Drosophila melanogaster: one gene and its partner. The protein of the gene in region 2 interacts with the protein of the main gene of each other region in a pairwise test. Each region holds a gene or a part of one and is shown on either strand. Other genes may lie near its edges.

Evidence for each region.
Region 1: the proteins of Lamp1 (region 2) and CG6479 interact in a two-hybrid assay, tested with the Drosophila melanogaster proteins (one large-scale study listed by BioGRID).

Annotation. Positions count from the first base shown.
Region 1 is NT_037436.4:17,336,627-17,341,165, reverse strand, and holds CG6479 (uncharacterized protein), read left to right. Parts: upstream 1-1,903; 5' UTR 1,904-1,986; coding exon 1,987-2,009; intron 2,010-2,029; exon of another isoform or gene 2,030-2,054; coding exon of another isoform or gene 2,055-2,065; coding exon 2,066-2,370; intron 2,371-2,429; coding exon 2,430-3,037; intron 3,038-3,093; coding exon 3,094-3,423; intron 3,424-3,482; coding exon 3,483-3,845; 3' UTR 3,846-3,994; downstream 3,995-4,539. Other genes in the region: CG13727 (uncharacterized protein), read left to right, coding at 1-243, 373-887.
Region 2 is NT_033779.5:21,571,388-21,577,609, forward strand, and holds Lamp1 (Lamp1), read left to right. Parts: upstream 1-2,001; 5' UTR 2,002-2,107; coding exon 2,108-2,174; intron 2,175-3,399; coding exon 3,400-3,726; intron 3,727-4,577; coding exon 4,578-4,799; intron 4,800-4,855; coding exon 4,856-5,196; 3' UTR 5,197-5,716; downstream 5,717-6,222.

The DNA of each region.
Region 1 (4,539 bases), on a different chromosome or scaffold from region 2:
TGGACCCCGTGGGCTCCGCAGTAGCCAAGAGCTACGATCCTCCCCCGGAGTTCTACCGCGGACCGGGCTCATCGTCATCCAAGTTGGATAGCACTGCAGCTGGCTTCATATCCAAGCCCATTGGTGCGCTGCCGCCTTTTGGAGGAGCTCATGGCTCCCAAGCTAGTGACCTAAATGATAACCTTAGCCAGGCCTATGATAAGTGGAAACTAGGTGGGAATATACACGATCGAATAAGCGTGGGTGAGTTCAAAGATTACTCAATCTATATATTCTACAAAGATAAACTCAAACTTAAAATGATTAATATTTGAAATTGATGACTGTTGTTTATTGTAGATTTCATTAAAAATATATTTAATACTATTTAAGGGCATTATGGCAGCAGTGGAAGTGCTGGCAAAAGTTACGCCTATGACAGTCAACCTTATCAGTATGACTACGGACCATCCAACGGACATGGCTATGAGCCAGGACCTGCTCCTGGGCACACCTACTCCTCCAGCGGAGAGGCAGGGGTGCCATACCACGTTTATCGACCTCGACCCGAACATGGCCACTACCCGGGGCCAGCAGTGGATTACTCCTACAGCTCCTACCCCATCGACTCCCACGAGATAGTCTCCCACAAGGGATCGCCAGAGATCTCACCAAAGGCCTTGCTGGCCAAAAGCTTCCTGATTCCGCTGGCCAGTGCCACCGTTCTGGGCATCGCCGCCGCCCTGGTCAGTAATCCTCTCCTGCTGCAACTAGCTCCTGTTCCGGGGATCGGTGTGGGAGTGGGTGTCGGACCTACAGTCGTTGGCAAACGAAGAAGGAGAAGAAGGGCAGTGAAGCGGGCTTTACGATCAGGGAATACTGATGCAAAACTGAATAGCTCTATCTAAGTACCGTCCTCTCGAAAATGTATTAAATCAGGAAACAATATATAAGATATTATTTTTAATATATCATATAGTTACAAGCGTGTTTTTTATTTAAAGTCAGTGATGGCATTTAAATAATTTTAATAATTTAAATAATTTAAATTAAGGGTCTAATGCTACGAGAGCCTAATAATTAGTTGTCTATATGGAGAGAATAAGATAACGTAATTTTAAGTGACTTGTGGAACCTTTTGTAATGGCTATATGTAAGTTTTTTTTTTACATTAGATTGCGTAATTAGTCGACTGAGGTTCAAACCGGCTCGTTGGTCTAGAGGTATGATTCTCGCTTCGGGTGCGAGAGGTCCCGGGTTCAATTCCCGGACGAGCCCCAGTCATCCCAGTGCGCTAAGGAATGTATAATTTTTAAACAAAAAAGTTATATTTTATAAATATTTATTTTAAAATATTTTTAAGTTATTGAGAATACACATTTAGTTGCATGTGTACACAATTATATACAATTTACTTAGGGAATGAAATAAATTAAAAGTTATTTTATATCATTAAAAACAAACTAAATTAAATTAAATTAAGGAATTTTTTAGCGTCCTCATAAATGTTGCAAAATTGTTGAGTCTTCGGTTTTGTACGGCTTATGTCATAATATATTGAAGATAGAGAAAAAATTTGTTTAAAAAACAGCTAATTTTATAACTACTCTAAAAAATATTATAAAACACTGCATTTAAATGATAAATTAAAAGTTGCTGATAAGTAATACGTTTAGAGTGGGTGAATAGCTTTAAACATTCGGATAAACAAAAAATCATTTTAAAAATCATAAAAATAATTTTAGTTCTATTAAAAAATATGATATCATGGATATTGATCCATACCAAAGAAAACATCGCCGATAGGTGTGTGTCTTCGCTAGGGAAAGTGTCTCCGCTAAGGTATCTTGAGCCAACAAAGTACATAACGCGTTTCATTCCAAACGGTATTTATTTTTTGACCTTGTGGTATTCTAACTTTTTGTCTGTGCTATCACTTACAAACAAGTTTTCCCGGCATTTTCGACCTATTCAGGTGATTTTCTAATAATTATCACATAGTAGGCAATGAATTTTACACGGACTAATTGGTAAGTGACAGAAACTAGTGTAGAATTCAGAAAATTAACCCATGAATGCTCCTCAGCTCGCCGCTGAGTAAAAACCCAGTGGTGCAGCGCAGCCTGGACTTGCGATTGCAGGGCGCCCAAGCGCGGCATTACCTCAAGTGGTGCTCCATAAATGTGGTGCTGCTGTCGCTACTCCTCTTCGACCTCTGGCAGGCATGTCGGTCCGCCTACAGGACCTACTGGTTCCTGGCGGAGTGCACCATTACGACCCTGATTGGCCTAAGTGCACTCGCCTGCTTCGGCAAGTATTTGTGGTTATGGTTTGGTGGTGACCAAGTTACGGGTAGCGATATCCAAAAGTGGCTGCTTGATGGCAAGGCAGGTGAGGAATCCAAAGGAACCCGTTCTAACGCATCCACTTAACCACTTTTATTCCTATAGAGAACTCTTTTCGTACAGTTTGCTCCCGAGCCGTGATGAAACCACGCAGCTACGAACCGGATAGCGATATAGAGGACGACATACCCATCATCAACTGGCACTCCTCCTTCGAGGACTCCTGCTGGGGCTCGCAATCCATGCGCCGCAGCCCCAGTCCCACAAGGACGCCGCAGCAGACGAAACAAAACACCTCTTACAACTCCTCGATGGTTCGAAACAACTCGCTGAATGCCAGCAATCTGAGCAACGAGTCTACCTATATGTCCCCGTATGCGGAGGTGCGACGCGATGACTTCATGACCGATACACGAAAGTTGACCAGTCTAATGAAGCAGGCGGATCGGGAGCGCAGCATGATGGACAGCTCGGATACACCCAATGTGCAGAGCATGGGATCGGCCAACTCCTTCTGGAACTACTGCAACAATGCGGCCTATATGCTCAAGACCACCATCTATCAACTATCGCCACCTCCGGCTGTTTCTACGGAAAATGCTCCCACCTCGATTGAGGAGTTTGGCGGTATTCAGTTTAGGGACAGCAATTCGGAGGTCATCAAGCGCATATCCACGGACAAACTGTCGCAATATGTGGCCAACCTAAGATTTGTAAGCATCCCGTTCAATATTCCACTGCAACGTACTAATGTCTTACCATTTTCTAGTGGATTTCTACGACCATACTTCAGCGTTTGGTCAAAGAGATCAATTATGTGGACGATGTTTTCCGCCAGCGAGCTCTGATTGACATTAAAATTGGATCTGTGAGTGTAGAGAGATTACGCAAAACAGCCGAGAACCAGCAGTTCGTGCAGACGTGTGCGCCCATGTTGCCCATGCTCTTACCTTTCCTGGACACCTTCAGCAACCAGGAATACCTGGTGCAGCGCATCAAGGAGCTTGCGCAGGGCTCTTGCATAGCTGACTACCGCTGGTACTCGGGCAAAACACACAACGGTCAGCAGCGGGACGAGCATTTGCCCACCGATGCAGCTGTGAGTATACGAAATTCCGCAACTGAGCACTCTTGATTAATTGTAACCTCATTCTGCAGATAATATTCCATTTATTTTGCGTGTACTTGGATAGCCAGTTGATGCCGTTGCCGCAGGGCGGCGGACGACCCTTTCACTCCCGCTACGTGTTAATTCGCGACGAGAAGAGCTCGACCAAGGACGTGGTGAACGCAGTTCACAACAAGGCCCACTGCGCCATTTTAAGTACCGGCAACCCACTTAACCCTAAATTTAACTTTATCAGCGACAAAGAACTACACAACTGCGTCTACGATAGGAATAACCTGTTCTACGTTATCATACAGTTCCTAATTTATATGCGACAGCACCAGGACTCTGCTCTGGAGTGCGTAAATCTTGGCAAAAGTGGTATCAACATCATGTGCGTCATCGAAGACTGAACAGTGGAACTAGTGGCTATGACTTTTAATCCCACCCCTAATCACTCCTTACTTCTAAGCATGATCCTTTGTGACTCGACTAGCGTTTGGTGACTGGACAATCCTCATCATTCGTTACTATGAAATTATACATTTGTAATTATTAAGCCAACTTACGACTGTTGTGGTTTCGCGGTTATCAAGTGTCGTGTGGCCTGCGGTCTGTGCAATTAACTTGTTTGGCAGTCGGCGGTAAGCTATATTCGCGGATATGTGCACACAGGTGCCCGACTTTAATTGCCCTTTCATGATTCTCACTATTGACCAGCCAGTTGGTGACCTGGCCATTGGCTCGGCCAGCGACATGCTCCCACATGCTCGCCACTTTGCACTTCCGAAAGTGACAAAATTAATGGTTTCCGCCGACGCTGTCGACATTTTGTCGAGTGAGAGACATTGAGAAAATGCTCCAAAGTAGTGCAAAATGAAGGAGTCGCAAACGGAGACCCCTAAAGCAGGCGCCAGGACGAGCAGGACCTGGGCCCTCTCGACCAGTCACATTACCATTTCTCTTGGCCATGCTCATTTCTGGGCTCTGGCTTGACGTTGAATCGGTTGGCTGGTTATTTTAATGCCGCCCATACTCCCGGATGCCCGGATGGCTGGATGGCTGGCACCTCGGGTGAGTAATGTGCCTGGGTTGTCAACTTTACAC
Region 2 (6,222 bases):
ACAAGCACGGCATTCCGTATGGAACACGCTCTATGCCTTATTTTCTGTGTGGGGGCCTAGTTCATAGGGCTGACCCTCTGATATGCAGTTATTTCAAAAAGTGTGGATATTATGTTTGAATTATTCCTGAAATGTCCTTAAGCAAACGTCCTTTAAGGTGGTTTAGGGAACATTTTGGAACACGCTCTCCGATTGGAGATATTCCTTAAAAATTGGAATACATATTTTTTAGTTGCACATTTTATATACCTTCTTAAGTCCCATAAAATAAAGTCGTACATACATAGTTAGACCAAACTTTTCTAAAACATTTAGCTTTTATATTTTTAAGGATTCACCTGTAAATAACGAAAAATAAATAAATAAAAAAGTTCCCATGAAAAAAACTCCACCGTTCCGCCAAAGACCCTAGAATAACAAGATGCGTAACGCCATACGATTTTTTGGCACACGATTTTTTGGCCGTGGCTCTAGAGGTGGCTCCAGGCTCTCTCGAATTTTTGTTAGAGAGCGAGAGAGCGAAGAGCGCTACAGCTAACAACTGTATGTGTGCACACGTATGCTCATGCATTGTAAATTTGACAAAATATGCCCTTCACCTCAGAAGTTCTTAGACTTTAAATCTATATTATTTTTGATCAATTGGCACCATGCGAAAAATTCTTGTTTTGCATTGCCTTAACGTTATTATTGTTTGAAAATAGATTAGAAATAGCCAAATCTATGTACATATTATCACAAAAATAAATTTCAAAAATGGCTTTATATTAGAATATTTGTCATTAGAGTATTCATATTGAGGCGTGTGAAAAATTAATAAGGCAATGATTGTTGAGTGCTTGTGTCCGCACTTCGTGCCGCAAGATATGAACAAAGCAAAGACACTAGAATTATTCTAGTGTCTTTGATATGACTTTTGCAATAAACAGTTATCATATTTTTATGAAATTTATGAAATTACAGTAGTTATAATAATTTCTATTGTACTTCCTTTAATTATTTAGTATATTTATTAAGTCATTTGACTTAATATGATGTAACATTAACATTAAAAGTGTTTAAAAAAAATATTTCGCTTTTAAAAAATTGTCAGATGAAAGACAAATTAGAATTAAACAAAAATATAAATGTGTAAACGGATAAACGAATAATTCTAGTGTCTTTGCTTTGTTCATATCTTGCGGCACGAAGTGCGGACACAAGCACTCAACAATCATTGCCATATTAATTTTTCACACGCCTCAATATGAATACTCTAATGACAAATATTCTTACATAAAGTCATTTTTGAAATTTATTTTTGTGATAATATGTACATAGATTTGGCTATTTCTAATCTATTTTCAAACAATAATAACGTTAAGGCAATGCAAAACAAGAATTTTTCGCATGGTGCCAATTGATCAAAAATAATATAGATTTAACGTCAAAGAACCTCTAGGGTGAAGGGGATATTTTGTCCCATTTACAATGCATGAGCATACGTGTGCACACATACAGTTGTTAGCTGTAGCGCTCTTCGCTCTCTCGCTCTCTAACAAAAATTCGAGAGAGCCTGGAGCCACCTCTAGAGCCACGGCGAAAAAATCGTGTGCCAAAAAATCGTATGGCGTTACGCATCTTGTTATTATAGTGTCTTTGGTAATACCTAACATTTTTTCATTAAGTCAATGAACTCAAAATATGGAAATTAATTTATAAATATTTCCACTGTGTTATAAACCCTGTGTGTTATAAACCTGTGTTATATAAACCCGTGATAAAATTATAACATGTTATACATATAATTCTTTCGATTGATCAGAAATTAAATGTTTGATAAGAAAATGTACTAATTGTATTATATTATGGAATTAAGAATATATTTTTTGGTATATTATTATTATAAGTTTCATTAAATATCGATAGACATCTTGCTGTAGTGGACATGTACTATTATTACGGTTCCATATGGGCTAATTTTAGTTCTTTTAGAAATTCGGTCACACTATTGATGAAGAAGGTCAAAATAAAAACTAGCTCAGTCGAGACAAAAACGTATGTGTCAGTGTAGTAGATTAACGTATAGAAAAACTGCAACACAACTTAAGTGAGATTGCCATTCAATATGTTCGCCAACAAATTGTTGACCTGCTCGGCATTACTAATAATGTTATTTTTACTAAGCAGTACAGGTTAGTGCCAAGCCAATTAAACCCTTTTTAAAACAGCAATGAAATGCGTCGCATTGGAGGCCTTTGTTCAATGTGATAATACATCGCAGTTCTTTTTATATGTATATGTATGTCGTTTGTTCATCGCACATAATTTATTTTTCCGGTGCCGTTCACGTCGCCATATGCGTTAGTGTCTTATCGGCGTAATAAGGTGTAAACGGTTGAATTGCGAGTTTTGCCTTCGTAGATCAAGGGTTTTAAACCTATTTCAGTAATCTGGCTATCCTTTCATAACTCTTCTAGAAAAATGGTGTCGCTTACGTTCGTTAGCCCCGGAGAACATCCATTTTTACCCCTTTCGCTTATTTGTTCTGGCAATTTACAGTTTTGTATGCAGATAAAGTCATCCGCCACCGTATGCATCCATATTTATTTTATGCACTTAAAATATTTATATGCATGGGTGTATAAATCGGCATATCATATTAAATTTGTATCCGCCATATAGCATACTTTAGTTTTTGGTTACTATCTGTCAATTCATATAACAAGATTTTGGGTCATTTGTTCAATACCAATGTTAGACATTTGTGCACATAGTATATACAAAATAATATATGACATAAAAAAAACAATCTGTGATAAAATAACAACAAGAGATAACGCTATAGTCGGTTCTCTGACTATCAGACTATGATAAGCGGATAAGACAACAAAGACTTGGAGCTAGACTGGGCATATGTATGTACCTACATATTTGGGGAGACATATTAAAATAAACAATTTAAAACATTTTTTTTTATAGCATGCGTGATAAAATGTTTCGGCATAGCAACAGAAGGATAAATGATTAAATCAGAAAATATTTTTTATTTTTTAATTTGTAGTGTGTTCCTACTAATCTTATCTTGTTAAATAGTTCTATAACCAGACCGAATTTAAAATTCGATTTCGACCTTATACATTTGGTTTGTATAAATATTTGACAATATGTTACGGTACGGCCATTTTCATAGGATCTCTACAAATCACTGAAAACGGAAATAAATTGTCCATCAAGTCCAAACTCACTAATATAAATAACAAAGGGTAATTTTTTGATAAGAGAACAAAGGAAATACAATTAGAGCTAACCATATGTACATTTGAATCTCTAATAAATAATTTTTTTTTCACGTCAATTTAAAGAAAATTCCGATTTAATAAAGAAAAGCTTTAATATTTTTAAAAATTCTTCTTTTAGTGTTCTCTCAAAAGCTTATTGGCTTGCCGAGAGTCGGTAAAAATGTTAGTGATTTGTTTCTGGAACAAGCAAACCCACTGACCAGCAGCTCCTCAACAATCTCAACGTCTTCGACAACAACTGAGAAACCTATCACAACCAGATCAACTTCTACAATAACTCCGAGATCTACCACACCTTCAACGGAATCACCATCGACCACCGCACCAGTGATAAGCACGACCATTGCCCCGCAACCATATCCGCAACCATCCATTGGGGCTTGGAATACCTCTTGTATTATGCTTCAAATGGCGGCACAACTTAATTTTACCTATGAGGCTAGGGGTAAGAAAATAAATCCATATTTAGATTGCGATCGAATTACGGCATTGGTGAGGTATGGGCTCTATTAGATTTTATAGAAACTCGTCTCACAGTTTTAACATTTTAATGAACTTACTGAAATCGATAAGGCAAATATTTCAGTTTAGATTAAAAAGAGATGTACATATGTAAGGATATATGTATGTATATTATATATATTATATTTACATCACTGTACACATAGAAATGATAATCAAGTTTTCAGACAATAACGAGTGATGCACTAATGATGCACTAAGGGTAACGTAAGGATAAAGACGGAGCGCAAGTTTGTTGACCCATGTTGCCACGTCCACAAACCATTTTTTTTCCCATTTTATTCCCCAATATCTATCGATATCCCAGAAAAATTATAAAAGTTGCGTTCGCATTCACACTAGCTGAGTAACGGTTACCTCTTCGGGTATCTCTTTTGTTTTTAGTTTAAATCGAATGGTGTATCAAGACTTACATAAGTAGTACATCGTATATATAACTTAATAACTTTCACTCCGTTTTGGACCATTTATAATAGTTATCTTTTAAATAATTCATCAGTAAACCAGTATTTAACATATTAAAAAGTGTATAACAGGTAGAAGAAATCGTTTCCCAGTCGAGCTCAAGGAAGCTGGGTTCGGTAAAATCGAATTTATGAAATTTGAAAGCTGGAATAGTCTGTCCATCTATGCTAATGGGCAAACGCTTTTTATTAATTATTATTTGTACTTAAATAAGCAATTATACTTACTTCTAACTTCATATATTATTATAACTAAAAAAAACTTGCATCTTTGTAAGAATATCCGACTAACGAAGACTTTTATCTTTAGAGGGAAACTTTACCACCGGTCTGTACAACATCCCCAGCAACGCATCTGTTGAAGATGCAGAATGTAAAAGCCAGACTACTCAGTTTATTCATCTGATTTGGGGACCAGAAACATCAAAGCAATCATTAATTATGTATTTTAATAAAAGTAATGACACCACTGTGCTTTCCTTTATGCAAATTCATCTGGCTTTGCTGCCTGAGGATTTTCCAGATGCAAAGGGTAAGAAAATATAAAAAATAGTAGACAGATCTGTGTCGAATAATCCCCAATTCCAGAAAATCAAACGGTTCAGCTTATTACCAGGAGCGACGGAGCGTTTAAGACACCAGAAAATATGTCGTATCACTGCACTCGTGTTCAGAAGATAAATATGACTGAGACACTCGATGCTGAGCAGTTAATTGGTTGGATCAGCGTCAGTCATGTTCAGGTGGAGGCTTTCCGGAGGGCCAACGACACTGGTTTCTCAGTTGGACACGATTGCGATAGCTCGGAAACTTCGGATGTGGTTCCCATTGCCGTTGGAATTGCTTTAGCTGCATTAATTTTGGTGGTATTAATATCATATCTGTGTGCTAGGCGTCGTTCCACCTCCCGCGGTTACATGAGCTTCTAATAGAAGGACATCAGCTTAATTGGGCAGGTTGCGAATCAAAGGAGTATGGACAGCAAATTGTTAGAGAGAAATTTAAGATTGATTTTTATTATTGGAAGCCAAAATTGATTAGTTGAAGTTGAATTAGTTTTTTTTTCAAGAGGGTCATCGAAATCATCAAGCGCAATTGGGTTTAGAATAATAAAACGGTTCTTTAAAAACTTTTTTACGTCTCTGTCTTTGTAAGTGTCCGATATTGGTTCTTGTATGCTGATATTTGTGTTTTATTTAATTGGTTTGAGCAATGTAAATGTAAAATAAAAAAAAAATTTCTAAATAAATTAATCTCTATAATGTAGCTACCGTGTTAACCCTAAAAAGGTGGTGTCAGAGAGGACATTTCTATTGTTAAGGCAAAAACCTGTACGCAATACCAACAAGTATACATTCTATTCAAATGTTATATTTTTTAAACATTATTATTGGGGCATATAAATGTGTGTATTCCTGACCTTAACTGTAATAAATAATATTTAAAACCAAGCACAATAATGATTTTCGTTTGCTGGAAAGGGCTTATGGGAAAAATCTTAAAATCATTTTTAATTTTATACAATTTTTATTTTAAATTATTTTAATTGGTTAATTATTGCGCTGTTCCTGTTTAGATGAAATTCTACGCTCCTGCAGCTGACAAAATACATGACCTGAGCTGGGCATCATAAGTTGTTCCTTTAGCAACTCGAAACGCTCCTCGGCTAGTTCATAATCATTCTGCGCCAAGGCCACTAGGCCCAGATTGTACCTGGCTTCAAAGTTCATCGGCTGAAGTTGCAGAGCTCCCTCAAACCGTTCGCGTGCTAATATTAGGTTGTGCGAGTCCAATTCCACTATGCCGGCGTTGATCAATCCTGGCGCATTGTTTTTTAGCGATCCTATTTCATGTAACTGGTTAACGCAATGGGAGGCCATTTCTAGGTTGCCTAACTGAAATATACGTTATGTTTTTAAGTACAAAGTGCATGTACTTTATTACACGGTACCTAT